7 linked regions of the Oryctolagus cuniculus genome follow. The protein of the gene in region 4 interacts with the protein of the main gene of each other region in a pairwise test. Links are inferred from orthologs where the notes say so. Each region holds a gene or a part of one and is shown on either strand. Other genes may lie near its edges. The genes, in order: KRT13, NMNAT1, MEOX2, CCNC, TRIM39, NDUFV2 and PNMA5.

Evidence for each region.
Region 1: the proteins of CCNC (region 4) and KRT13 interact in a two-hybrid assay, tested with the Homo sapiens proteins (2 studies listed by BioGRID and IntAct). The two-hybrid records come from large-scale screens. The link is inferred for Oryctolagus cuniculus from reciprocal best matches to the Homo sapiens genes CCNC and KRT13.
Region 2: the proteins of CCNC (region 4) and NMNAT1 interact in binary tests that used the Homo sapiens proteins (3 or more experiments, as listed by UniProt). The two-hybrid records come from large-scale screens. The link is inferred for Oryctolagus cuniculus from reciprocal best matches to the Homo sapiens genes CCNC and NMNAT1.
Region 3: the proteins of CCNC (region 4) and MEOX2 interact in binary tests that used the Homo sapiens proteins (3 or more experiments, as listed by UniProt). The two-hybrid records come from large-scale screens. The link is inferred for Oryctolagus cuniculus from reciprocal best matches to the Homo sapiens genes CCNC and MEOX2.
Region 5: the proteins of CCNC (region 4) and TRIM39 interact in binary tests that used the Homo sapiens proteins (3 or more experiments, as listed by UniProt). The two-hybrid records come from large-scale screens. The link is inferred for Oryctolagus cuniculus from reciprocal best matches to the Homo sapiens genes CCNC and TRIM39.
Region 6: the proteins of CCNC (region 4) and NDUFV2 interact in binary tests that used the Homo sapiens proteins (3 or more experiments, as listed by UniProt). The link is inferred for Oryctolagus cuniculus from reciprocal best matches to the Homo sapiens genes CCNC and NDUFV2.
Region 7: the proteins of CCNC (region 4) and PNMA5 interact in binary tests that used the Homo sapiens proteins (3 or more experiments, as listed by UniProt). The two-hybrid records come from large-scale screens. The link is inferred for Oryctolagus cuniculus from reciprocal best matches to the Homo sapiens genes CCNC and PNMA5.

What each region holds. Positions count from the first base shown.
Region 1 is NC_091448.1:21,121,509-21,125,594, forward strand, and holds the start of KRT13 (keratin, type I cytoskeletal 13), read left to right. Parts: upstream 1-1,286; 5' UTR 1,287-1,365; coding exon 1,366-1,836; intron 1,837-2,778; coding exon 2,779-2,861; intron 2,862-3,001; coding exon 3,002-3,158; intron 3,159-3,339; coding exon 3,340-3,501; intron 3,502-3,595; coding exon 3,596-3,721; intron 3,722-3,818; coding exon 3,819-4,039; intron 4,040-4,086.
Region 2 is NC_091438.1:158,230,093-158,234,153, forward strand, and holds the start of NMNAT1 (nicotinamide/nicotinic acid mononucleotide adenylyltransferase 1), read right to left. Parts: upstream 2,801-4,061; 5' UTR 2,650-2,800; exon of another isoform or gene 2,500-2,649; intron 1,442-2,499; 5' UTR 1,393-1,441; coding exon 1,335-1,392; intron 1-1,334.
Region 3 is NC_091447.1:7,289,576-7,293,725, forward strand, and holds the start of MEOX2 (homeobox protein MOX-2), read right to left. Parts: upstream 2,801-4,150; 5' UTR 2,513-2,800; coding exon 1,999-2,512; intron 1-1,998. UniProt on the Homo sapiens protein: Mesodermal transcription factor that plays a key role in somitogenesis and somitogenesis and limb muscle differentiation. Required during limb development for normal appendicular muscle formation and for the normal regulation of myogenic genes.
Region 4 is NC_091436.1:72,164,563-72,168,062, forward strand, and holds part of CCNC (cyclin-C), read left to right. Parts: intron 1-634; coding exon 635-719; intron 720-871; coding exon 872-941; intron 942-3,500. UniProt on the Homo sapiens protein: Component of the Mediator complex, a coactivator involved in regulated gene transcription of nearly all RNA polymerase II-dependent genes.
Region 5 is NC_091436.1:139,956,086-139,959,585, forward strand, and holds part of TRIM39 (E3 ubiquitin-protein ligase TRIM39), read right to left. Parts: intron 589-3,500; coding exon 358-588; intron 1-357.
Region 6 is NC_091441.1:66,330,970-66,335,091, reverse strand, and holds the start of NDUFV2 (NADH dehydrogenase [ubiquinone] flavoprotein 2, mitochondrial), read right to left. Parts: upstream 2,801-4,122; 5' UTR 2,633-2,800; coding exon 2,579-2,632; intron 1-2,578.
Region 7 is NC_091453.1:131,406,284-131,410,454, forward strand, and holds the start of PNMA5 (paraneoplastic antigen-like protein 5), read right to left. Parts: upstream 2,801-4,171; 5' UTR 2,673-2,800; intron 477-2,672; 5' UTR 335-476; intron 1-334.

The sequences.
Region 1 (4,086 bases), on a different chromosome or scaffold from region 4:
CTGCTGCTTTCTTGGGTACATTAGCAGTGAGCTGGATTAGAAGCAGAGCAGCCAGGACTGGTGCTCTAAGGTGCTGGTGTCACACGGAGCAGCTTAACCCACCGCACCGCCACGCTGGCCCTACTATGAAGCATTAAACCCACAGGCCTGGTGGATTCAGGGCCTCTCCACTGGGCTCTGCTGGCCTCTCAGGCCTGACGAGTCTTCGTCGTGGGGCGGTCCTGTGTGTCGCGGGGTGTTCAGCCGCACCCCTGCTCGCTGCTCTGCATCCCAGCAGCTTCCACAGCTGTGGCCACCAACCTGTCTCAGGGTGACATCAGGGGCATGGGGGTCACTGGGGGAAGGTGCCAGGAGATGGACGGGTGCTGGGAAGTGCTGTGTGGTGGTCACCGGTAAAAATGCATTGAACTGGACACCTAGGATCTGCACATTTCACTGCATGAAAACACACCTCAAAAACTGGTCTTTGGGTCAGACGGGACCAGGTTTGGGGTGCAGTCCTGGTTCCGTCCTGAAGGCTCTGTTTGCTTGCGTGTGAAACAGCGGCCACAGGAGGAGTCTGTGAGGCCCTGAACGCCAAGTGCTGGGCCCACGGCTGCCCGGGGCAAGGGCTCTCAGAACATCAGCTACGAGGATGCGTGGAGTCCCTTCCTCTTCCTCGCCTCTTCCTTCTCCCCAGCTGCGTTGGCTGGCTCCCTAAGCCCCCCGCCCCCCGAGGTCCCTTGTCACTGTGATTCTTTCTGATGGCATTGGAGCCATCTCAGACTAAACACTCCCAAGGCAGCCGATTCTGCAGGACCAGTGGAGTTTGTCCTCAGAGTCGCTGCCGGGGCTGCAGTAGACAGAGGGCTGGAAGGGAGACAGAGCACCCTGTGCAGAAGCTTCGGGCTGGAAGGAAGGGAGGTGGGGGGCTGCGGAGCCTCACAAGGCACAGGGCACCGGCAGCCGCCTCTTCCTTCGAGGCTCGCCGGCAGCTGTTTGCAGCTCAGTCCCCGTTCTAAAACCGGGTGGGGCCGAGAGCCTGTGGAGTGAGCTCCTTAGAGGAGAGGTGAACTAGGATTCACTCTCAAAGGGGAGTCTTAAGCAGAACACCGTTCCCTCTGAATCATCTCTTTTGTTAAGGATTAAAAAAAAAAAGCCACCCCCAAAAGGCACAACCCTCCCTGGGGAGCAGAGGTAACTGGGTTTGTGAGAAAAGAAGGGAAGTTGGCACCAAGTCAGAGGGTGGGGAGGGGAGGAGAGAGGATGGCCAGCCCCTCCGCAGGTGTATAAAAGGTGTCTGGACCGGGACAGAGCCATCGTCCTTGGCCCAGGCCAAGCCCAGCTCCTGCCTGCACCTGCTCCAGCACCGCTCTCGCCTGCACCATGAGCTGTCGCCTGCAGAGCTCCTCCACCAGCTACGGCGGTGGCTTCGGGAGTGGCTCCTGCCAGCTGGGAGGAGGCCGCAGCGTCTCTACTTGCTCTACCCGGTTTGTCTCCGGAGGCTCAGCCGGGGGCTACGGGAGCGGCGTGGGCTGCAGCTTTGGTGCTGGAGCTGGTAGTGGCTTTGGAGGTGGCTTCGGAGTTGGTCTTGGAGGTGGCTTTGGTGGAGGTTTTGGCGGTGGCTTTGGTGACTTTGGCGGTGCCGACGGCGGCCTCCTCTCCGGCAATGAGAAGATCACCATGCAGAACCTCAACGACCGCCTGGCCTCCTACCTGGACAAGGTGCGCGCCCTGGAAGAGGCCAATGCCGACCTGGAGGTGAAGATCCGGGACTGGCACCTGAAGCAGAGCCCAGCGAGCCCGGAGCGCGACTACAGCCAATACTACAAGACCATTGAGGAGCTCCGGGACAAGGTGAGCCCCCGGGTGCCGGGCAGGGCTCCCCAGGGCAGGGCAGAGCCCTGAAGGCAAGGCCACTGCAGTCCTGGCCTCCCTTCCTTCCGAGGGGCAGGTGCTGGGGGGAGTCACAGCCTCCCTGCGGGGGAAACTTTTAATCTGTCACTCCCCACCACAGCTCCTCGCTTTCATTTTCTTGTCACTACTACTGCTGTCCTTAAAAAACAAACAAACAAACAAACAAACATTGCTTGCCAGTTATGCTATTAGAAAGCTGATCTCTGCAACCCTAACTCACAGAGCTATTTGGAAATGTGACAGCTGTAAAAACCACACAGGTACTAAAATCCACAGAGACAGACATGTTCGTGCATCGCTCTGGGACTAGTTGTTTATTTTGCAGGAGCCCCGCTTAAATGGGGCTTCTCAACGGGGGGTCGGTCAGGTTGGGGAGAGGGAGGCAGAGGCGTAGGTGGCCCTGAGCCCGGATGTCCTCCGTGGGGCCTGTCCATCATGTTGCGACACCTGCTTCTTAGGACACCCACCAGCTCGGCCAAGTCCCGGCTCTGCAGGGTTGGGTTTCCAATGCTTGGAACACACATGTTCGGACGAGAAATTCTGACGGGTGGGATTGATGTCGGAGATCCCCTACGCTCAGCTGGGAGGCCAGGCTCAGTGGAGTCAGCAGGGAAAACAGGAGTCCTGCGAGGCCCCTTTTTACCAGAGAAGGTTCTCGAGACAGACAGGGGCTGACGGTGAGGTTGCTGGGCTGAGGCTGTTGAGAAAGTCCCGGGGGGCTCATTCCTGCGAAATGCTTAGGCTGGGGCTTCCCGGTCCTGACCAGATGCAGGGTGTATCAGAGAAGGGGGGCTGAGGAGGCAGGGCCCCAGGCACAGCAGCCCAGCAGGCTGCTCCCAGGCCCCTGCCCCCGTGGAGGTCACCTGCTCCCCTCTCCCGCAGATCCTGGCCGCCACCATCGACAACAACCGGGTCATCCTGGAGATTGACAACGCCAGGCTGGCTGCCGACGACTTCAGGCTCAAGTGAGTTCACGTCGCGAACGTCGGCTTCCCAGCATTGGAGCAAGCCTGGGGTGAAAGCTGTGGCAGAGCCGCTGAGCCTCCTGCAGGGATGGCGGAGTCACTCATCATTTTTTTTAAAAAGTTTTTTTAAAATATTGCAGGTATGAGAACGAGCTGGCCCTGCGCCAGAGTGTGGAGGCCGACATCAACGGGCTGCGCAGGGTGCTGGACGAGCTGACCCTGACCAAGGCCGACCTGGAGATGCAGATCGAGAGCCTGACTGAAGAACTGGCCTACCTGAAGAAGAACCACGAGGAGGTGCGAGGGGGTGGCCGGCCCGTTGTGGCTCAAGGGCTTCTGGGAGAAAGGCGAGCCCTCTGCTGCAGCTGCACGCGGCTGCCCACTGGGGGACCTGGGAGCACTTTCCAGAACATTCTGCCGGCCTTGAGAGCCAAGGAGAGGGAGGAGCTTCATGCAGCTTCCTTTCCCACCCCCACAGGAGATGAAGGAGTTCAGCAACCAGGTGGTGGGCCAGGTCAACGTGGAGATGGACGCCACCCCGGGCATCGACCTGACCCGCGTGCTGGCAGAGATGAGGGCGCAGTACGAGGCCTTGGCAGAGAAGAACCGGCGGGACGCCGAGGAATGGTTCAACAGCAAGGTAGCAGCTGGTGGTGCAGGCAGGGCGCGGCCTCCCCAGCTCGGGGGGCTTCTAGGTGGGCTCCTCCATCACCATCTTCCTGCCTGCATTTCAGAGTGCCGAGCTGAACAAGGAAGTGTCTTCCAGCACCGCCATGATCCAGACCAGCAAGACAGAAATCACGGAGCTCAGGCGCACGCTCCAAGGCCTGGAGATCGAGCTGCAGTCTCAGCTGAGCATGGTACCCAGCCGCTGCCCCCCGCCCACAGCCGCCACCTCCAGCGCTGCCTCGGGCTCGGCCACCCCCATCTCACTTCTTCCCCGTTGCCCCCCTGCAGAAAGCCGGGTTGGAGAGCACGGTGGCGGAGACGGAGTGCCGCTACGCCCTGCAGCTGCAGCAGATCCAGGGGGTCATCAGCAGCATCGAGGCCCAGCTGAGCGAGCTGCGCAGTGAGATGGAGTGCCAGAACCAGGAGTACAAGATGCTGCTGGACATCAAGACGCGGCTGGAGCAGGAGATCGCCACCTACCGCAGCCTGCTCGAGGGCCAGGACGCCAAGTAGGTCCTCGCCGCCGGTCTCCCTGCACGGCCTGGGGGTGTCGGAC
Region 2 (4,061 bases), on a different chromosome or scaffold from region 4:
CTCTGACCCAACTTCCTGTTACTGTACCTGAGAAGGCAACAGAAGATGGCCCAGGTGCTTGGGCCCCTGCTACCCATGCGGAAGACCTGATGGCCTTCCTGGCTCCTTGCTTCAACCTGTCCAGCATGGCTGGCCGTTGTAGCTCCTTGGGGAGCCAAGCAGCAGATGGAAGATCTCTCTCTTTCTCTTTCTCTTTCTCTCTCTCTCTCCCCCCACACCCCACCTTTCAAATCAATCAATCAATCAACAAAAACAACAGAGGTCCCAGAGTTCAGAGAGCCTTTGGCTAACAGTACTTCTTGTTAGTCACTCAAGTTTCCCCTGCCCCAGCATTCTCTCTACCTTGTTACAGCAGTTTGCATTCCCCGGGCTCCCATCCCAAGTCCAAGCAAGTTAAATGTCCTAAACGCCAGCTGCTAAGCAGGATGTATCCGATTTCCTAGTAATGACTCCCAACTCCACTTGCGTCTCTGCCACCCTCGTGGGAGAACCAGACTGAGTTCCTGGCTCCTCAGTCCTGCCTCCTATGACCACATAGCATAGCATTCCTCCTTCTCCAACCTCTTCTGTCTCACATTTGAAGGCTTGGAAAATTGGAAACCAAACCAATTTCTTACTTAAGCACTAGAAATACTCATTATCCATTCAACCTTAAAAAAACAACCCTAGTATGTAAGAACATCCAACAACACAGACCCACTGATCAGCTAAGAAAAAAGAACATGAGGTAAATACAGGGCGTACGTGGTAAGGCCTCTTCTCCACAGCTTTCACGACTACATAAAGTGAGCACAAGGTGGCTGGCTCGGGCGCAGCAGGCGATTTGCGGCTTGGGACGCCCAGTCCCACACACGAGTACCTCGGTTTGAGACTTGGCTCTGCTTGAAATTCCAGCTTCCTGCCAGTGTGCACCTTGGGAGGCAGCAAGCGAGAGCGACTGGGTTCCCGCTACCCACGTGGGAGAGTGGACTGAGCTCACAGCTCTGCGACAGGCGGGAACATTTCCACCCAGCACAGCATCAGCCAGCACAGCATCAGCTGCCGTGGGCAGCCGGGGAGTGGACGAGTGGACAACAGATCTCTGCCTTTCAAATAAATGAAGCTGAAAAACCAGCACAAATGCCTAAATCGAATTCCACATTATCGTCATCAACATTAGGGAAGCACATGGTGAGAAAGTGCTTACTCAGCAAATTCTCTCAATGGTTCCCGTGTTTTCCAGTTCTGTTTGGCAGTAGAGTCACTGAGTTCCATTTTACCGTAAACATTGATACTTTCCCTCATGTTAACCTACCAAAATTAAATATAATCACATTGATGTAACAGGCACTTACTTTTACAAAGGAATTCTTTGAATCTGAAGTGTTTTGTAAGGTAGGCTACTGGAATCATTCCAACCAGTGTGTCACCATTCTCTAAAAAAGCAGCTTCGTGTTTAATTCTGAAGAAAAAAAAAAAAAAAGCCTAGTGATAAGAAATTCTGTGATCAGACACAGGTGACAGAGCAATTCCTTCTGGTAGAGTTCTATGACCATCAACATTGGAAGTCTGTCCTGGGCAGCAGAAATCTAACTTCAGTGACCAGACCTCTGAAATGACGATGTCTCCGATGTCCCGTGGACTGCTGGTTCTTCAGAAGGGGGGGGGGACAGAAGTGTCCACGCAGGACAGGATTTGGCACAGGGGTTAGGATGAAACTTGGGATGCCTGTATCCCATAGCAGAGTGCCTGCGTTAGAGTCCCAGCTCCACTTCTCTTTTCTTTCCTTCCCTCCCTTCATCCCTCCCTCCTTTCTACTTTTCTTTCTCTTCCTTTTTTTTTTTTTTTTTAATTTATTTATCTGAAAGACAGAGTTAGAGAGAGGCAGAGGCAGAGAGATTAGTCTTCCATCTGCTGGTTGACTCCCCAAATGGCCACAACAGCCCAAGTTGGGCTCATTCTGAACCTAGAAGCCAGGAGCTTCTTCCAGGTCTCCCATGTGGGTGCAGGGGCCCAAGCACTTGGGCCATCTTCCACTGCTTCCCCAGGCCATATTAGAGAGCTGGATCGGAAGTGGAGCAGCCGGGACTCGAACCCGCGGCCACATGGGCTCCACTTCTGATTCCGGCTTCCTGCCTGGGTGCTCCCGGGGACTCCAGCACTGGAGTCCTTGTCACCCAGGAGGGAGACCGGGATTGAGTTCCCAGGCTCCTGGCTTCAGACGGGACCAGCCCCGACTATCGTAGGAATCTGGGGGGTGACGCGAAGGGAGTTCTCCGGCTCTTTGCCTTTCAAATAATGTTAGGAAACACTGGAAGGAATGTTTCCAAAAGCCATCTCCTTCCCAGGAAGCGAGGGGCCAATCGGCTTCCAGGAAAGTGGATCCACTCTGCCACGGACTTGGGAAAGGGCAGGCGTTGAAGACGAAGACTTTCCCTCGGTCGCCTCAGCGCCAACCCTCAAAAACCCTCGCGTGACGTCACCCGCTGCGAACGTCAGAGGCAAATTTCCGAGGTTTTTGGTTCCTCGAGGAAGAAGTAAAGGTGAACGTGACCTTGCCTCAGGACCGCAGTACCCGACCCTAGACGTCCACACCAGCTCGGGCTGGCCACCGAGTCCTGGCTGACACCACTGCGCAGGGGCTGCGGGCGGGGGGAACCACTGACTCACCCACTGCCACGGACGCCACGCGGCGCGGACCCGGGCGAAGGCGGAACCCCGCGGCCGCACCCCCATTGGCTCCCGGGGACCGGAAGTGGTACGTCGGGAGGAAGTGCTCCCTCCCGCGCGGTCGGGCTCGTGTGGCCCGCAGGTAGGCGGGGCTCCTGGCTCCCGGCTCGGGAACCGGGCCCTGGCGGGAGGCGAGAGGGGACCCCGGGGGTCCGGGAGGAGCTCTGGGTTCTCCTCAGAGAGGACCGGAAGGCGCGTCGGGGGCGGCGGGTCACGGCGACCCCTGGGGGCAGCCGGGGCCTGGTGGGGCCGGGCCGCCGCCGGAGCTCCGTGCCGGGGTTCTCCGGTTCCCGGGCGGGGATGGGATTCACTCCCGCACGGCCGTGGTCGGGTGCCGCTGGCTGCCCGCGGGGAAGAGGTGTGCCCTCCGCCCTCCCCTGTTCCGCGCGCGTCCGGTGGCGGGGTCTTCCACCACGACGGCCTGGGGAGGCTGCGCGGGGCGCGGCGTGGTGGTCGGCGCCCCGGCCCTGGCGTCCTCGGTCGCGGGCCGTGTCCGGCCAGGTCCCTGGAGTAAGTGAAGCGCCTTGCTAATGCTTTCCCCTTCCCCAGCCGCCGCCACGCCTGCGGGGTTTGAACCTTGAGCCTCTGGTCCTGATGAGATTGCGCCTTCTCCAAGTTGATGACACTCGGAGCTGCGGGCGCCGGAAGGTGGTGCGGTCCGAGAGCGGTCAGCGCGGCGCTGCGAGGCAGGCGAGCGTGAACCGGACTCCAGGATACCGCCCAGGACCTGAGCCGCGGCTCTGCCTTCCGGACACCTGCCTCACCGGCAGGGAATACTAGGTGAGGCGGGCGAGTTAGTCTCTCCGGGAGAAATCAGCGTTTAATGCCAGGGGTTTAAGCTTTTCTTTCTTTCTTTCTTTCTTTTTTTTCTTTTTTTTTTAAGATTTATTTACTTATTTGAAAGTCAGAGTTACACAAAGAGAGGAGCGGCAGAGAGAGAGAAAGAGAGAGAGATCTGCTATTCACTGGTTCACTCCCCAGTTGGCCGCAACGGGCGGAGCTGTGCCGATCCAAAGCCAGGAGCCAGGAGAATCTTCCGGGTCTCCCACGCGGGTGCAGGGGCCCAAGGTCCTGGGCCATCCCCTACTGCTTTCCCAGGCCATAGCAGAGAGCTGGATTGGAAGTGGAACAGCCGGGACTCAAACCAGCGCCCTTATGGGATGCCGGCACTGCAGGCGGTGGCCTTACCTGCTATGCCACAGCGCCGGCCCCCATGCTTTATTTTTAAAAAAGATTTATTTAAAAGAGTTAGAGAGAGGAAGAGACAGAGAGCTCTTCCATCCGTTGGTTCACTCCCCAAATGGCCATAGCAGCCAGGGCTGGGCCAGGCTGAAGCCAGGAGCCAGGAGCTT
Region 3 (4,150 bases), on a different chromosome or scaffold from region 4:
CCCACTCAAGCTGTAATCTATCAATACTTTATGCGGCTGACACAAACTTGCTTTTCATGGACCCTAAATATCAGCTTCAACATGTAAAAATGAATTTTACTTTGTTATATGGCTAATTTCTCATCCATGAGAGAGGAGCTAAGGAGCATTAAAGGAGGCCAATTTTTTTTTTTTTTAAGTTTCATTGAAACAATTCGTGGGCATCAGTTCTTGTATTCCACTTTCTCTATCTGTCCCAAACAAAATCACACTTGCCCTATGAAATTCGGATTTGCCCTAAGACACTCAGGGGTACTGGGCTGAGTCAGGACGCCTGAGGAGGGAGCCCATCATCCGGCTTCTCCCGCGGAGAGTGAGAAGGGCCGCTCACTCAGAGCTTCTAGTTCTAGAAGGATGTTCTCATCAGCCCGAACCGCCTGAACTGCCACCGCTTCCACACCAACACTGATATCCAGCGCCCAGTCTGTGCAAGGGCCATTGCTGTCTAAAACTGGCCCTTGTTTATTTATTTATCTTTAAATAATGAAGATGAAAACCTTCTTGCTGGGATTAACCTTTCAACTGGTCTTAAGAGAGTTTCATTTGTAGTTAGTAAAACCCATTAAAAATGAGTGACATCGCTAGTAACTTTCTTAGATATTAACTAATTTGTGATGGGGCATTAATGGTCCACCCCTGACCCTGGAAAGTAAAAGTCGAAAGAAATCCAGCGCAGGCTAAACTGAAGAAAGATCGGTAGCATCGCTGCAAAGCAATTCCAACGCTCATTTCCATCTGCGTCCTTTATGTGGCCTAAAGCTTTACAGGAGATAGACATCTGCCAACTCTTTCAACCCACGGCTGAGATTATCTTCTGGGACTATAGACATCAATTTCGCAAAAGAAACACACGCTAAGTGTTCTATTGCGCAAATGACATCTTCCTAAAACACGAAGGAACCCAGGGTCACAACTCCCCTTCAGTGAAAAATCCTCTGAACAATTTCATCACAATGCAGGCAGGTAAGGGCTTTGCAGACCTGCCTCTGTGGTTAGATTTCCCGGGCAAGCTGCGCGTTCCGGCGCTCCCAGGGCTGTTAGGTTCCGGGCACGCAGACGAACGCCTGGTGGGTGCCCCGTTGCGCGTATCACTTTGAGCAGACAGCACTGGACCTGCCCTTGGATTCCCAGTTTTTGTCGTATTGCACTCATTGAGAGAGGAGTTGATCTTCCACCCTGAAACCTCTTCGATTCTCCCTTTGCATTGGTATCATACGAATACTACTAACTACTCCTAACAATCGTCTTTCTCCAATACTTTTCGTCATCTATTTGTTTAAAAATTTCTGACATGCTCCTTAAAAAAAAAAAAAAAAAAAAAAAAAAAACTTCTTAGACACTATCTTCCTTTCCCAAGAAAGGGAAGCATTTACCATTTAGAATAGGTTGCTATTTAAGGAATCCTGAAATCCAGAATAAATAAATAAATAACCTAAAACTTTTTTTTTTTCTCATACGCTCTGCCAAGTTCCATTCCAAGGTTCCAAATATTGTGCAACGATTTGGAAAGCCAGTTAACGATGGGAAAAAGCGAGCCATTCGGAGTCGGGAACATGCGAGGCAGAAGTCCGGGAGCCGCACCCGCACGCCCGCCCCACGGACACGCATCCCCAGGCGCACGCCCCTCCCGGCGCCGCGCCCGGCCGTCACGCCGCGCAATCGATTTCACAAACTGTCACTCGCTCCCCTTTGGTCTCAAACTTCTGGAGAAGTAGTTTGGGACCTTGGGAAGCCTAGAGCTGCCGCTGCTGGCTGCGTGTAGGTTGCGCACAAGGGTAACACTCCCCTCGCCCCCCCAAGTAACTGGGACCACAGCCGCATCTCCCAAACCTGCGCGGGCTGGACACTGCCCCAGCTTTTGCTGTGCCCCGCTGCAGCCTCCAGCGCTTGCAAACTGCCGCCCTGGCCCGACCCAGCTGCGTCTGCACTCCGGCCGAGGGTCCTTGGCGCGCACCTTACCTGAGCTGTCGCTTTTCCTCTTGCCCCCGCTTCGCTTCTCCACCTCCGCGGGTGACAGCGTCTGACGACCGTAGTCCCCCGGCGCGCAAGCGGCCCCAGTCGGGGTGCTGGAGCCCAGGCTGGAGGAGTTGGAGCACAGGACCGGCGGGCTGCTGCCCAGTTCCGGGGGCCCTCCGGAGTCCGGCTGCAGGCAGAGGCTGTGGCGCGCCGCGCTGGGCGGGGAGGACATCTGCGGGAGGTGCCAGTTGGTTTGCAGCGCCTGGTGCTGTTGCTGCTGGTGGTGGTGGTGGTGGTGATGGTGGTGGTGGTGGTGGCCCCGGTGGTGCTGGCTGGCGAACATGCCCTCTTCGTTGGGGTATCCCGCGATGATGCACGAGGACGACGAAGTGGAGAGCTCCGGGTAGGACATGTGGTCGGATCTCCCGTGCAGGGCGAGCGACGACTGAGAGAACGGGTGCAAGCCTTGCGCCGTGGCGTGCGGGCTGCGCAGGCAGCCAAAGAGCGGGTGTTCCATAGCATGCAAGTCGCGGGCTCCAGGCGGGAAGACTTCAAGACGACCGCACCAACGCTGGCACCACCAGCCTGCGGGCGCTTCTCCGTGGCAATCGTGTGGCTTCCCCCGCACCCTACGCCGCCCCTGTGTCCCCAGGCCAGAGCCGCGCGGGCTTTCCGGCAGCGCTCGTGTAATCCCTGTCCTAAACCCTCGGGCCGGTCTCCTTCACATATAAACACTGGGACCCAGAGGAGCTTCCCTCCGAGCGACTCGGATGTCAAGAGTGGGAGCGGTCGAAGCCAAAAGAAGGTGGTCCCAGAGAACTATACGCCTGGGGGGTGGGGTGGGGGGGGGAGGAAGGGCTCTGGGAGGTTATAAATAGAGTGTAACGTGAGCCGGGGGCTGGCTTAGGAGCCTGGCGCTGACCACATGCGAGCTCCTCCAGCGCGCCCGCTCAGTCTGCGCCCCGCGCTCCCAGCCCCGCTTCCCACTGCCGGCTGGACAGTCCTTCCGCGTGTCCCCGCCCGCCCGGCCCTGCCAGCAGCCCCGGGCTGCAAGCCGCGCACCAGGCGCCGGGATCCCGCCAGTCCCGGCTCCGCACCCACCCCCCAGCCCCTACCCGCGCACCATGACTTGTCAGTGCCATTTGGAAACTGTCACCCGCAGGAAAGCTTAGGGGTGCGCCCAACCCCTGGGGGAGTGAGCGCGGCTGAAAAGGGCAGAGCAGAGCCAAGTCTAGCGCACGCTGCGAGAAGTTTCTCAGACTTCGCTCGCTGCGTGCGCCCCGGGGCACAAGGCGCGCCCGGCTTTTTGCCGCCGAGGTGTGTGCGCCGGCCGGGCACCGGGCTCTGGGGTAGGGTCCAGGTGCGGAGTTGCGCAGCGCGACCCGCAAGTGGGCAGCGCTCGAGACCGAATGGACCGGGACTGGGTGCGGTGAGCCGGCGGAAAGTGCGCGGAAGCCCGCGCCCAGGCATCCCGACGTGAGCCGCCTACTGGTGCCCTGCCTTGGCGTCCCGCCCCCTGACCGTCACAGCGAAACTGGTCCCACTCCATTTCCCAGCCACCAGTCCATCTAGAGCAAGCTGTCCTGGGCCGGGAAGATTCTGAAGAGAGTTTGTCCCTGTCACATGCCACGTGCGGATTTGCACGCGTGCTCCCAGCCTCGCCCCCTCCTCCCCCAGGAGGCAACCCAGGGCCCTTGATTTTCCTCCAGAACCCCACCGCCTCTCTCCCGCTCCCACACAAACCAGCTCCTTCCACACACTCCTCCTCACTGCGCTATGGTGCCACTGATTGGGAAACCGAACACTCTGATGCGTGCCATCGGCGCTTGGGCGTTTCGGGTTTGCATCCCGCAAACAGGAAAGCATAAGTTTGGAGTCCCTGAGCGCATGCGGGCCGCTGGCTCTGTCCCGGGGGCGCACCGGGCCGCGGGGCAGCCGGCTCCCAGCTGGGCCGGTGCCGTCAGGAGCGCGCGTGCCCTCACTGCTCCCGGCCGTGCCACCAGCGGTGTTGCCCCGTTATTTTCATTGTCTCAGGTGTCCCGAGGATGGGGACCAGGTCTTTGAAGTTGTTCCTGAGATTAATGGGCACAGCAGACGGGGCTGGACATCTGGTTCGAATTAGGGGCGAGTACTGAGCCATCTCTGGGCGGTGTCC
Region 4 (3,500 bases):
CACTCCCTATCATTCGTTATCAAACTCAGTTTAAGCTTGGCTAAAGCAAAGTACTTGGAGAGTAAATAATTCTTTAGTTGAATATTATATAGTGGTCTCTCCTATCTTAGAACTAGCTTTGTAGGAAAGGGGATTTGGAGTTGAAAGACCTTTACACTGACAGGTGCTATAGCTTTGTCTCATGATCTTTGTCTCAGTTCACTTTTCTGTAAACCTACCTCACTGTTTTGAGGATTCATTATGGGTTTTTTTTTTTTTTTTGATAAATTGTATAAAGTAGTAGCTAGAATGAGTTTTATAGTTTATTGAACATTTTCTTTTTATATTTATTGTAAAGATAATATGAAAAGCATTAAAATATTTACAAGATAGAAGGGAAGTATCTATCATTCAGTCTCCTTAATATAAGAATATATTTTGTTTTGGGCAATTTCTTTTCCTCTCTTTTTGTTCATTATGCTTATATATGTATTTTTGTATAAATTTGCAAATCCTTGCACTAAACCACTGAGAGCCAAATGGAGCTTTATAGCATGTGTAGGTTTTTTCCCTTTGTTAAAAATGAGTATAGTCATGTTCAAGATTAATAATGATACCAGAAGATATACTTAAAATTTTACTATTTCCCTTTTAGTTATCCAAGCATTAGGTGAGCATCTTAAATTAAGACAACAAGTTATTGCCACTGCTACGGTCTATTTCAAGAGATTCTATGCCAGGTAGGACTGTTTTATTTTGGGAATATACTAGATGTCTTAAAAACTCTTATTTAATGTTGATGAATCGTGTGTGCGGTAGAGTTAACTTGATATTTTTTCTTTAGTGTGTTTTTCAATGAGTGACACTTAACTTTGTTTTATGATATTTTTAGGTATTCTCTGAAAAGTATAGATCCTGTATTAATGGCTCCTACATGTGTGTTTTTGGCATCCAAAGTAGAGGTATAAAACAATTTTCTGATTTTCATCAATATTGGTTAATCTGCCCCAGTTGTCACATTACTTATTTAAAGATAGTAGTAGATGATAATTTAAGCAAAATACAAAAATGACACAAAAATCAAAGAAATACATACATAAATTTGTGTATTTATTTTTTAAGGGCTTATATGGCTCTTAACAGAGTACCAAGTGCTTTTGTAAATCTTTTTACAAGTATTAACTGACTTAATCCTCATAAAAAATGGAATATGTGATAGTAGAGTTCCTACTTTATAAATGAAGGAACTGAGGCACAAAGAGATTAAGAACTTGCCTGTATTTGTACAACTGGTAAGTCGCAGAGCTAGTATTTTGAACTGTGAGAGTCTAGTTCCTACTCCTATTTTCTTATTTTTTTTTTCTGCAGCCTTTAAGATTTTTAATTGTTTTGTACAAGTAGAATTCAATAAATGCCCTAGCTTGTTTCCTATAACCTAAGAGTGTCTCTCCTTCGCATATGCTTATTGCTACTGTCTTCCCTCCTTTCCTTGTGGTGATTGGCTGCCTACCAAGCCATCAGGAAAACAAAGGAATGGCAATGATTAGGAGAGGCTACAGCTATACAGATTCTATCAAATAAAAATCAGATGAAATAGAAAATTCAGGTGAGGGAGAGAAGAAACATAGGCACTTAGAGCTGAGACTGAATTTTTGCTTACCCTATTTATCTTTTCTGCAAAAATCCAGACAGTAGTAGCAGATATCAACTGTTTTTTTAATCCATTCAGGTTTTTTTTTTTTTTTTAAGATTTTTATATATTTATTTGAAAGAGTAACCAGAGAGAGAGAGGTCTTCCATCCGCTGGTTCACTCTTCAGATAGCCACAATGGGCGGAGCTGCACTGATCTGAAGCCATGAACCAAGAGCTTCTTCTGGGCCTCCCATGTGGGTGCAGGGGCCCAAGGACTTGGGCCATCTTCTGCTGCTTTCCTAGGCCATAGCAGAGAACTGGATAGGAAGTGGAGCAGCTGGATCTTGAACCGACGTCCATATGGGATGCTGGCACTGCAGGCGGCAGCTTTACCCACTATGCCACAGTTCCAGCCCCCAATTCATCAGTCTTCAGTATTACAAAGCCTTTGTACTGTGTTTCTGTTTTTAGATATCTTTATAATAGTAATGATATTCTTGAATATTATGGTTTTTTTTTAAGATTTATTATTTGAAAGGCAGTGACAAGGTGAGAGAGCGGGGCCATCCAACTGATGGTTTAGTCCCTAAGTGGCTGAAAAGATCTAGGTTGGGTCAGACCTAAGTCAGGAGCCAGGAATTCCATCTGGGTCTCCCACATGGATGGCAGGGACTCAAGCACTTGGGCCATCTTCCACTGCTTTCCCAGTCACATTAGCAGGTAATTAGATTGGAAGTGGAACAGCCAGTATACAAACTGGCATTCCAATGTGGGATGCCAGTGTTGCAGGTGGTAGCTTAACTTGCCACAACGCCAACCCATCTGAATATTATTTTAGCCTATTGTTATTTTTTTTTTTGGTACTCATTTTGATTTAGCTTTGTTTTAGCTATTGTTTAGGATTATCACTGACATTTCTCCCAACTATTATCTCAAGAATGAGAATTGACCCTATTAGAAAGAATACTAAGGAAAACGTTTTAGTGATTTAATATTTTTCAATTTTAGAGGTAGTTTAAGGAGGCAGAACTGACTTTGTTAAGTTCTTTTTTTTTTTAAAGATTTATTTATTTATTTGAGAGGCAGAATTATAGACAGTTATACCATGCCTTGGTTTGCTCTCCAAATGGCTGCAATAGCAAGAGCTGGGCCAATCTGAAGCCAGGAACCAGGAACTTCCTCTAGGTCTCCCACCTGGGTGCAGGGGCCCTGGTGCTTGGACTGTCTTCCACTGCTTTCCCAGGCCATCAGCAGGGAGCTGGATTGGAAGTGCAACAGCTGGGACTTGAACCAGCACCCATATGGGATGCAGGGATGCAGGCAGAGGCTTAATTTACTATGCCACAGTGCTGGCCCCTGTTAAGTTCTTTAATGGAAAAGAAAATGTTTATAAAACAATTTTAATATGGGTCTATTTTTTACAAATATTGCCATGTAACGGCTATTTTTATATATCAAGCACAACCAGTATTTGATACCAATTTGTTGATACCAACAAAACCTTATTAAACATCTATAAGCTTTATAGATTAATTTAGATATTTTGTTGTTTTTTTCATTATTGAATTTTTTTGAGAGATTTATCTTACTTATTTATTTGAAAGACAGAGTCACGGAGAGAGGTAGAGACAGAGAGGTCTTGCATCTGCTGGTTCATTCCCCAGATAGCCTCAATGGCTGGAGCTGAGCCAATCCGAAGGCAGGAGCCCGAAGCCAGGAGTTTCTTCTGGATCTCCCATGTGGGTGCAGGGGCCCAAGGACTTGGGCCATCTTCTACTGCTTTCCCAGGCCATAGCAGATAGCTGGATCAGAAGAGGAACAACCGGGACTAGAACTGACGCCCATATGAGATGCTGGCGCTTCAGGCCTGGGCTTTAACCTGCTGCGC
Region 5 (3,500 bases), about 68 Mb from region 4:
CTAGGTGATTCAAAATCCAGGACTTAAAAGTAACTGGTTTCACAAAATTTCTAATGCATAGTTTTTTTTTTTTTTTTTTAACTTATTCAGACTATGACTTTTGTCCTTTCAAAAAGTGATTTTTTTCCCCCTTGGGTACAAATTAAGTACATAATTGTTGACAGGACATAAGACCATGATTAGAAAGGATGGGAGAGATCAGAGGACTTTCTGTAGGAAGAGATCCTTGTATGTCTGGAAGGAAAGACTGGATCTAGGGAAGCAGAGTGGAAGAGCGAGCCTCCCAGGCTGACATACTGGCTGTGCGAAGCTATACTGTGCACGACCTGAGGGGCTATGCAGGGGCAACGGTCGAACCTTAAGCATCTCGAAGCCCGACTGTAAGCACTTGCCCTCCACCTCTGCAGCCAGGTGGGCGAGGTCCCGGCGCTTGTCCCCAAGGTGAGCAGCATTTTCTCGTAGTCGCTGGAGAATGTCCTGTTCCTCCTCCTCCAGTCGTGCAAACAGCATCTGCTGCTCCTCATCCAGCCGCCTGTGCAGCTCTTCAAACTCCCGCAGGATCTGCTGCCGGCGACTCTCCACCAGTCTCTAGGGAGAGAGGGAAGACGCTATGTCAGCAGGGCTGGCAGGGCAGGGGGAGGCCCCTTGCCCACCATGTGTGCACCTCAGCAGAGACTTCCAGAGTCACTGACAACCATTACACAGGACACCCCTCTTTCTCTTGGGTGCAATTTCCTTCTGGAAAGAATGACTCCATCCCTGCCACGCCCACTGAAAACTTGACAGTGAAAAACATGGGGAGGTTAAAAAAAATCAACGTTTAAAAGTATTTTCATTTTCTTCATGATCTAAAATAGTAGTACTTTTATGTTTTACTAAAATATATTCACATAAGTACTCAATATGACAATGTCTGCTATTATAGATATTAGAGATATTTCTGCTACCCCCAACTGCTGAATTTCTCGTCAAGAACATGAAGGAACAAATCCTGGAAAGCTAAATTGTCATCATTTGTATATTGCAAGGCATTTAAGAGGAAAAAAAAAAACCAGAAAATCAATCGGAAAAGTATCAGAATCAGCAAGTTTAATAATGAGAGGTTATGAAATACAGATGCAGATTTCAGGGCTAAACCTGTTAAACAGTTTCGATTCATTTCAAAGAATTGGCAGTTCCCGTCCTGGAACAGGTTCCAAAAGTTGGTGAATTAGTTGCTTTCTCTACACCGGCACATGCAAGTACACCTCTAGCATTCCTGAAATTTGGTATCATCCTCAAACACCAGCCACGGCACTTTGCAAGGGTTATCAGCAATCCTCTCTTCTGTGTATTCACAAGAGTATGCACCGAGTGTCCTGTGACTGGGGGGAGGTACCAACCCAAGAGCCAAGCAAAGTGGGCAGCCAGATTGGGCCTGTGGAAAGAGGAAGTGGACAGGGCCTGAAGGCAGGGCTAAGTGGAGGAGGGGGGACGAACGCCAGGGTGGGCTTCACAAGCCTGGCACGTCTGATGTCCACGCAGTTTCCGGCAGAGGCTGACTACCTATGTGCTTCCACGGCTGCCTGCGCAGGTGCACGCTGCAGCTGAATGTCCTTTCTCATTTGCTCTGACGGCATGCATGCGTGTCGGCATGTGTGAGCGTAGGGGTGACATATGGGTAGATGTTCAGGATTCATGACCACGGAACACAGGAAGCAAAAAGGCTCCCCTTATTAGAAACTCATAACCCCTTCTCCTTGTTTACTCCATATTTGTTCTTAATGAGCTGTTATTTCCGTGAATGCATTTTGGAAATGGGAGAATTTTTAATAAAAGAGGGCAGAGTGACAGAGAGGGAGGGAGACACAGAGAATTAAATGAAGCTGGTTCTCTCTCCAGACGCCTGTCACAGCTGAGGCTAGGAGGCCAGGTCAAAGCCAGAATCAGCAACTTCATCAGGGTCTCCCACCTGAGTAGCAGGAACCTAAGTACTTGGGTCACCACCTGCTGCCTCCCGGGCACATTGTTCCAGGTGGCAGGCTAACCTGCTATGCCACAACACCTGCACTGGGCACTTGTGGCAAGGCTGCTGGCACTCCTTCAGTGTGTGAGACAACCCTGCACAGTGACCTGTCTTGTACCATTTTCAATGTATTGTCCTTTAATGGAAATATTTTTGTGTGTGTAAAAAATGCAGGCTTGGACTTGAACATCATTTTTGTATTTCACAGAGTAATTCTTAGCACAGTTTAATACACTGGAATTATGGTCCCTAAATACAACTTACTAAGACTATATTCTGTTCTTAGAACTTTATGCAATGTAATTATTTTGCAAAATCATGTTACCAAGAGCTTGGCTGCTTAGGGGGCCTGGTCAGATTTTTTCTTTTTTTTTTTTTTAAATCCTGCTGCTCAGGCCACACTCAGTGTGGGGTCTAGCAGTAGGAGGTTTTTTTTTTCTTTATATATATATATATTTATTTTTTGACAGGCAGAGTGGACAGTGAGAGAGACAGACAGAGAGAAAGGTCTTCCTTTGCCGTTGGTTCACCCTCCAATGACCGCGCTGATCCGATGGCAGGAGCCAGGTACTTATCCTGGTCTCCCATGGGGTGCAGGGCCCAAGCACTTGGGCCATCCTCCACTGCACTCCCTGGCCACAGCAGAGAGCTGGCCTGGAAGAGGGGCAACCGGGACAGAATCCGGTGCCCCGACCGGGACTAGAACCCGGTGTGCTGGCGCCACAAGGCGGAGGATTAGCCTAGTGAGCCGTGGCACCGGCTAGATTTTCTATTTATTGCATTGCTGATGATGCCACATATGGGTTCAAGTATATAACTGCACCACAGGATCTCCTGGGTAGTCCTGCCCCAAATATGTACACACCAGATTTTATCATAAGTTACTTTTATGCTGTATGACATTATATTTGGACTTGTCAGTTTCTTCAAAATTACATAGATAGGTTATTTATAATTTTTCATTTCAGCAGTTAACCACAAACTTTGGAAAAGAGGACTGAGGCAAAGAGGTGGGTGGGGCTGAGGGACAAGGTGGCAGAATTTAAATGGTCTCAAAAGCAATGTTGGTGGCCATTTCAAGGACCATTGAGGCGATAGTTTGCAATCTAAAAAAACGGGCAGCATTACAGCTAGGTGGGTTTAGCTGCCACCTGGAGATTCCAGCATCCCACATGGGAGTCCCTGGGATGGAAGCACTTGCCTCTACTTCTGGTCCAGCTCCCTGCTAATGTGCATTCTGAGAGAGAGCAGATGATGGCCTAAGTATTTGGGTCCCTCACCCAGATGGAGTTCCTGGCTCTTGCCTTTCACCTGGCCCATGCCCCAGCTGTTGTGAGCATTAGGGGAGTGAATCAGCGGATGGAAGAGGTCATGGACACTCTCTCACTCTCGCTCGCTCGCTCTCTCTTTGGGTCTCTCCTCCTCTGTCACTCTTTCAAATAAATAAAAAGCTTTAAAAAAAAGTTCAAAATAAATAACACTACAGTTCTGGTTT
Region 6 (4,122 bases), on a different chromosome or scaffold from region 4:
CTAATCAATATTAACAAAAAACCATGGGCCATTACTGAACGAAATAAGCCTATTCTGAGTACCTGGCCCTCCATAATGCATAATATTTAGTCAGTTCTTACCATTGTCCAATCAGGTTATCCTATTTTACAGAAAAGAAAAATTAGGCTCAGAGACATTAAGAAATACAGCTCAAGGTCACACAACTAGTACTAAGTTCTGAGAATCTTTTTAAGCAACGTTGAGCTTAAAAAGCCTATGGCTGAAGACTGGCAAATGGCTAAAAAAGCAGAAATCATAACAGAATGGACAATTTCTTTGAAAAATGCCAAGGTTTTTCAAAGGTTTCTCTGCTAAGAAAGCCAACTTTCCTGGTTAGACCTTGTACTTCTCCTGCTCTTTGCTCGTCCATTCTTACATCCACAACCTGTGGGATGCTATGCAGGATTAAAACAAGAGCACACAAGTAGTGTTTACTGATGAGATAGCTGCTCAAAATATATTATGGAAAAAGGACTACAAAACACTATGAATAGTACCTTGCAATATTTGTAAAAATGGGAAAAAAAGGAAATCTCTAAGATCTGTTCACTGTGGTCACTAAAACATTAACAACGGTACTCTCTACGTTTTTTGTGCTTAACGTACTTGCTGTTGTTTTTCCCGCAATGCACTACTTGCATAATACAAAAATTAAACAACTCACATGGTGGGCATAGACTATACACAACGTACTCTTTGAAAACAAAGCTGAGAAACGTGAAACTTGATTAAAATTTTCCTCTATTACCTAAACTTGTTCTTTCTCATTATCGACTTTTTTCAGTTTTTATCTCTAACCTCTCTGCTTCAAAGATAAAACAAAAACAAATCTCTATGTAGACATATTTGCATCTCCTCTACTGGGAGACAAGGTCTGAGTCTCACCTCATTTAGACCTGACAAGGTCTGCAAGAGCCTCTATTCAGCGCCCCCTGCTCTGCTTGCAACCAAACCCAGCCCCAGCTCAGTGGCACTCAGTGCTCTGCCCAGAACAGAAACCTGACCATATCCCTCTACTCCTCTAAAGCGTTTCAGACTCCTCACTGCCTCTAAGATAAAGACAAATTTTTTAGCAGGGCACGCGAGGGGCTTCAAAATCTGGCCCCCACCCTGCTCTTATTTCATCCGGGAACACACTGAAGTTCCAACAGCAGGGTTGGCTTCTCACACACCAATCTTTTTCTGGCCATTACTGATAGTCTTTTTATGTTGTCTTTCTACCTCAAATATCTCTGCTGCCATCCCCAACCTTAGAACTACCTCCAGGGACAAAATCCCATCTTCAAACCAAACTGGATGGCCCTATTTGGATCTCTAACACTGTACTTTTATACTGTTATCATATTTATCTTAAAGTCTCTCTTACAAAAGACTATCAATTCCACAAGAACAGGGATTGTTTAACTGTAGCATGAGGAAAAAAACAGTACCAACCTCAAAAGTAAGATGCAGAACACAGACATGTAAGGACGGGCTTGGCACAGAAAATACTCACCGAAGTTACCTATGATTATCACTAGCCACACCACTGCCTGGAGCCCAGCAGCGCATACCCCACAGTAGGACCTCAAAAGTTTACTCAGCGTCCAAACGCTGCAAGTGGAATATTTTATTCCCTTTCGACAACTGAGGGAGACCAGCAGCTCAAGGTCGTAGAGCTACAAAAGGCCGAGACGCGCCATCCAGACTCCGTTCTAAGGCACACTACCTCCCTTTCACTGAGGGCTGACTCAATCTCACTATCTTACTGCTAGAAACACACCAACCAACCCAAGGCCTCTTCCGCTCCAGTAAGTGCCGCTTCTGGAATCTGCGTTTTTTAAGTTAACGCGAATGCATGCTTCAACCTCTCTGCGAGTCCTTTTCTACAAAATGTACTTGGATTTCAAGACCGTAAACATCCTGCGATTCTTTAGTTGTGATACTGTTCCTTCACACTATGGGACTGTTCCTGGAGCATCTCCCATATGCAAAGCACAACTGCAGTAAACGAAGCAATGCCTTCATTTACTTGCGATCTCAGGAAACTCAGGAAGCTTTCACCAAGCCAGCCAGAGTTTTCTCCAGTGCGCTGCAGCCTCCCAGCAATGCAGTCACCTGGCCTGACATGCAAGGTGCCTGCTCCTTCGGAGACGAAGGTCTTAAGGACACATCTGAACGACGCAGGGGAACCTTAAGTTCCGCGCTAGAGCGCAATCTCAAAAAAAAAAAAAAAAAAAAAAAAAAAAAAAAAAAAAGGAAAGAAAGCAAAAGAAAAGAGGTCACCGAGCGGCCCCTCCTTCCTATCCTCCGTGACCAAATTAGGCATACACATCCCTGCCTGGCGGGGGAGGCCACGCACCCGCCGCAGCCACAGGGGCCGACCCTCCCTAGAGGCGCCTCACTCGCCGTGGAGCTGCAGCGGCCTCCCTGAGCAGAGGGCGAAGGCCGCAGTGTCCTTGCCTCCGCTTCCTGGCCCCTCCAGCGCCCAGGGTTCTCCTCTGCCCAAAACTAAGGGAGGCACGGAGAGCGGGAGACGGGAGGCTGCAGTGCCCGGGCTCGTCCCAAGCCTCCTTACCCACTGGGCGGTGAAGCCAGACGCCCGGGCCCGGAGCGCTGCAGAGAAGAACATGGCGGGCCAAACCGTTCGGCTTTCCCTGGCCGCGCAAGGCCAGAATCCCGAGCGTGCCCCGGACGCACGGCGTGCGCGTCCCCGAGTCAGGCTTGGGCGCTAGGAGCGTGTACTACACCTCTCTCTACGCCAAGGGCGGCGGCCCACGGGAGCGCGCGCGGGCGCGCGGAGGCTGCTGGGGCCCAGTGGGCGGAGACCTCCGGGGGCGGGGCGGGACGAAGACCCACCCGGACCCTACAAGGCGGCGTTCCGCCCGCGGTGGCTGGGGTCCCAGCCTTGAAAGGAAGCGTTCGCGAGTGGCTCCCTGGGCTCTTCGAAAATGAAGCATTGACCTGGATTTATGTGGTGAGCTTCTCTCTTGGAGAACCTCGTGAGGGTTAACCACCGTTTCTTGTGTTGCAGTTACTTAAGAAAAATAATAACGTTACAGCCCATTTATAAATTTATAAATCTCATTGTACGAATTATGGAAGTCAAGACACAGAGTGACGCTCCCCGACGAGGTAGGCTTAGATACCAAATGCCTTGTTGGTTCCAGTTCCTTTGCTTTAGAGATGTATATCGGCATTTTTAGGAGTCAGATATTATGTCTGGAATTTGCTTCAGCGTCTTGGGGAATAGAAGGTAAAAACGGAGCAAGATTAGCCTTGAATGATGACTGGTAGATCCTGTTCCTAGTCTCCGTTGTTTTCTATGTATCAGAAATTTTCCGTAATAAAACTTAAAAAAAAAAAAAAAGCCACACTTCCTTCTTGATGTTTGTTTGGTCATTTCTGGAAATTCCAGCCAAGTGTTTACTCGGTAAGGGCTATAGCATGCACAGCCCCATTTCCTGCTATGGAGAGTCTGCAAGACACCTTCTACCTCTAATTTTCCCTTCACTGCCTTCACGTCCTGAACCCACCCCTTCCATTTACTCGTTTTCTTTGCTATAATAAATTTGTGAATAGTTTCTGGAATTTTCACAGCAGCACAGGGATTTTAAAAGAGAAAGATATTCTGCCCCTCAATGTCGATTTAAATTATTTTATTATAAAGCCACACACACACACACACACATATATATATACACTCAACACTGTGATCCATGTTATACACATAATTGCTCATACAGTTCTTACCTAAAACCAAAACATCTCAGAAATTCAAACAAGCTTAAAAATGGATAAGACTGACTGATTTGGCATGGATCATTTGAATCTGGTATCCATGTCTTTGCTGGATTTTATTAGGGCCTTCTCTGACCTCCCAGTCCACATTAGCCCATAAGAAACCAAAATGCACTTGCCTCAACTTTTGTTACTGCACTAAGTAATAAACTCCCTGGCTGCAAAAACCTGCCACTCCCATCTTCTTTGTTTCAGCAACTTGCACTATACCGGGCATATGGAAGATAGTCAATAAATATGTGTTGACTGAATGAAGAAAAAATTTTTGAATGAATGAAAATTTTGCATATTGTGCCTGCTTATCTAAAAGGGTTGTATGCC
Region 7 (4,171 bases), on a different chromosome or scaffold from region 4:
CTTGAAGAGCAACAGGTGATGTCACTATCCTCCAGCCAATGGAAATGTCCTAGCAGCAAGGGAGCTGGGAGAGTGAAGGGGAGATGGGGGTGAGGTGAGCAGCAAGGACTGAGTGCTGAAAAAACAAGTGCTTAAGGTTTCATATTGTGTAGCAGCTAGAATTAGGGGCAGAAAAGGGACCCAACGAAGGGTTCCCACTGTCCCGCTGCAGGAAACAGACAACTGTCACCCTAGGTGTGGCCCTACCCTGCAGAGTGTGTGGATCCTGGAAGGCAGCCTTTGTCCCCTTGTCCTTTGCCAGGGTCACAGAGGCTCACCTTCCAAAATAACTTACTTGACGACTTGGCAGTGTGGATTCCACTGGCCGTGTAGAGTTTGTGATTCTGATGTAATCAGGCACTCAGCTTGCTCTCCAGCTCTGTCCTGTCAGGCAGTTCCCGAACCAGGTTAGATGGATCAGGATCCCTTCACTGGATCTGTCCAAAGCAAGGCAGAGGTATTTCACTGTGGTTACGTCCCAAATGCCCTGCTCAGGATGTGCCAATTTTGAATCTGCTCACGAATACAAGAAACTGCTGCTCCACCCCCAGGGAAAAATCCCACCCACCAAGCCCCAAATCCCACCTCCACTCAAGCCACACCCCCAAGGCCAAGCTCTGCATCCACCTAAGCCTCACGCCTGCCATGTAACTGCGTCCACGCAAGCCCCACTCCTTGCACCAAACTCTGCGTCCACGCAAGCCCCACCCCTGCCGTCTAACTCTGCGTCCACGTAAGCCCCACCTCTGGTGCCAAACTCTGCGTCCACGCAAGCCCCACCCCTGCCGTCAAACTCTGCGTCCACGCAAGTTCCATCTCTGGTGCAACACTCTACGTCCATGCAAGTCCCACCTCTGCCGTCAAACTCTGCGTCCACGCAAGCCCCACCCCGGCGCAACACTCTGTGTCCACGCAAGCCCCACCCCTGCCGTCAAACTCTGCGTCCACGCAAGTCCCACCCCGGCGCAACACTCTGCGTCCACGCAAGCCCCACCCCTGCCGTCTAACTCTGCGTCCACGTAAGCCCCACCTCTGGCGCCAAACTCTGCGTCCACGCAAGTCCCACCCCGGCGCAACACTCTGCGTCCATGCAAGCCCCACCCCTGCCGTCTAACTCTGCGTCCACGTAAGCCCCACCTCTGGCGCCAAACTCTGCGTCCACACAAGTCCCACCCCGGCGCAACACTCTGCGTCCATGCAAGCTCCATCTCTGGTGCAACACTCTACGTCCATGCAAGTCCCACCTCTGCCGTCAAACTCTGCGTCCACGCAAGCCCCACCTCTGCCGTCTAATCTGCGTCCACGCAAGCCCCACCCCTGCCGTCTAATCTGCGTCCACGCAAGCCCCACCCCTGCCGTCAAACTCTGCGTCCACGCAAGTTCCATCTCTGGTGCAACACTCTACGTCCATGCAAGTCCCACCTCTGCCGTCAAACTCTGCGTCCACGCAAGCCCCACCCCGGCGCAACACTCTGCGTCCACACAAGCTCCACCCCTGCCGTCAAACTCTGCGTCCACGCAAGCCCCACCTCTGGCGCCAAACTCTGCGTCCACGCAAGTCCCACCCCGGCGCAACACTCTGCGTCCACGCAAGCCCCACCCCTGCCGTCAAACTCTGCGTCCACGCAAGTCCCACCCCGGCGCAACACTCTGCGTCCACGCAAGCCCCACCCCTGCCGTCTAACTCTGCGTCCACGTAAGCCCCACCTCTGGTGCCAAACTCTGCGTCCACGCAAGCCCCACCCCTGCCGTCAAACTCTGCGTCCACGCAAGTTCCATCTCTGGTGCAACACTCTACGTCCATGCAAGTCCCACCTCTGCCGTCAAACTCTGCGTCCACGCAAGCCCCACCCCGGCGCAACACTCTGCGTCCACGCAAGCCCCACCCCTGCCGTCAAACTCTGCGTCCACGCAAGTCCCACCCCGGCGCAACACTCTGCGTCCACGCAAGCCCCACCCCTGCCGTCTAACTCTGCGTCCACGTAAGCCCCACCTCTGGCGCCAAACTCTGCGTCCACGCAAGCGCCATTCCTGGCGCCAAAAGCCAACCTCTGAAGATCCACTGAACCGGCAAACTGCGTCTTGCGCAAGCGCCATTTCTGGCGCCAAAAGCCACTTTCACCAAGAGCCACTGAACCGCCAAACTCTGTGTCCATCCGAGTGTCATACACTCCGCCATTCATGTGCACGTCCTGCACCCACCCAAGTTCCTCACTTCCATTTCCCTGTACTCCTTTCCCCCACCTCATTATCTTTAACCTCCTGTACCCATCAGGCTGTCCCATTCACTCCTAACCTCACACACCCTTTCCACTACTCTGAGCAGGGACACATCTAGTCAGCAGAGGTAGCTAGAGGCTAGAACAGGAATGGCCAAAGCCACTTTCCCTCAAGGATAAGGGCCAGAACCAGTTGTCCTTACTGCTACGTCTGGGCAGGTTTGGGGTAGAATGGGCCCTCCTAAAGTTCTGAGGCCACTCATGATAACTGGAAATATCAGGGACCCCTAGGATTCTGCTTCCAGGGGAATCTAAGGCCACTGGCCCCTGGGACCTCATGGAGGTCAACCAGGATCATTGGAGGGAATCTGTTGTAACCTTGGTTCCCTTTTGTGCCCAAACCCAGCTCCTTACCTTCTGGGAATGCCTCCAGGCCACAGCGCCCGTGCAGCGTGGCCACTCTGCCGCCGCCACTGTACGGAATGAGCCGCGAGTTTGTGGCGGGAAAGAAATTGTCGGGTAAGCAACGGTCTTCAGCACCGCCCACTCGCAGATGCATCCCGGCAACGTCTACGGCCACGCCCACCCCCATCTCCACCTCCACCCCACTCCTGCAATAAAGGGGTTGTGCCCTGTCCACCGCACGTTTCTCCTCTGAGTCATGACTGGAGGGGGAACAGAGAATTCAAACCATACTGAGAACTGTTGCGTTGCAGAGTTGCTCACAGTCCAGCTTGTACGTGCTCAATAGAGGCCGACAGGACCACCACCTGTCACATCAGTCCCAGCAACCATTGCGGCTACTATGATAGGTGTCTCTCACCCATTGGACTGGGACTGGCTCTGACTTTCACCAGTGGCTCCTCCTGTTTGTGTATTCCAAGCTATGCACACAGGGCTATGTGCAAAGTATAGGTCCAGGTGCAAACTACAAGCTCGGTACCTACTAACTAACCAAACGTCTCTGTCCTTGTTAATTTTTATCCACTGTGTCCTAGGGGACGGCAAAAAATAAAAAATACAGCTACTACCTTCATTTTACAAATGCATGCAATTTTCAAGGCTCATTGAGATACAGGAAACTATCAAGATTTCATTCTCTCATTATTCTCGTGATTGCATGAGAATTACCCACGAGGTACCGAAACTTCTCTCTTTTCTTTCCCAAAGCAGGTTTCTTCCACAGAGGGAAGACTTAGCTGTTTTCCTTGGGGCTACTGGGGACCCTAAAGTCCTGTCCCAGCAAAGGGCACTGGTGGGACACTGGTAGCAGTTTACAAAGTGCACACACATTTCCCAGAGCAGGTGATAGTAGCGGTTCAAGTTGTGAGTCAGGAGGTCTTGGCAGAGCTCAGAGTCTGCAAAAGTACCAAAACTCTAGCGGCTATTGCAGTTCCCTGCCCATGCTTTGTGTAGCACTGCTCTGAGATTACCAGAGCCAGAAGTTGTAAGCTGACAGAACGTAAGTTTTGCTGTATTTGGTACGAATAACAGGCCTTTTTTAAAATCATATTTTAATGAAAATGTGAAAAGCAGAAAACTTTTAAAACTAAATGTCACCAAGTAAGATACATACAAATATTGCATTATTCTCCTTTAATTGAAAATTTTTCCTAGGTGAGACATGACACTGTAACCCAGACCCCTATACTGCGTACTTAACAAGAACATACTTTGGACTATCTCTTAAATTAATTTCCTTCTCCTTACTGGAGAAAATGATTACTTGGCGCTGCCACGTGGTCACAGACCAGACGGCTCTCCTTACAGCAGTCCACAGCACCCTCTGGATGACACCACCAGCTGCCCAGTCTCATACAGGCTGTGAGCAGAGCTGTCCTGAGCACCTCTGTACTTCATTCTACTTCTCACTGCTAGACTTGGCTCCTCCCTAGTCTTTCCTTAAAAACAAA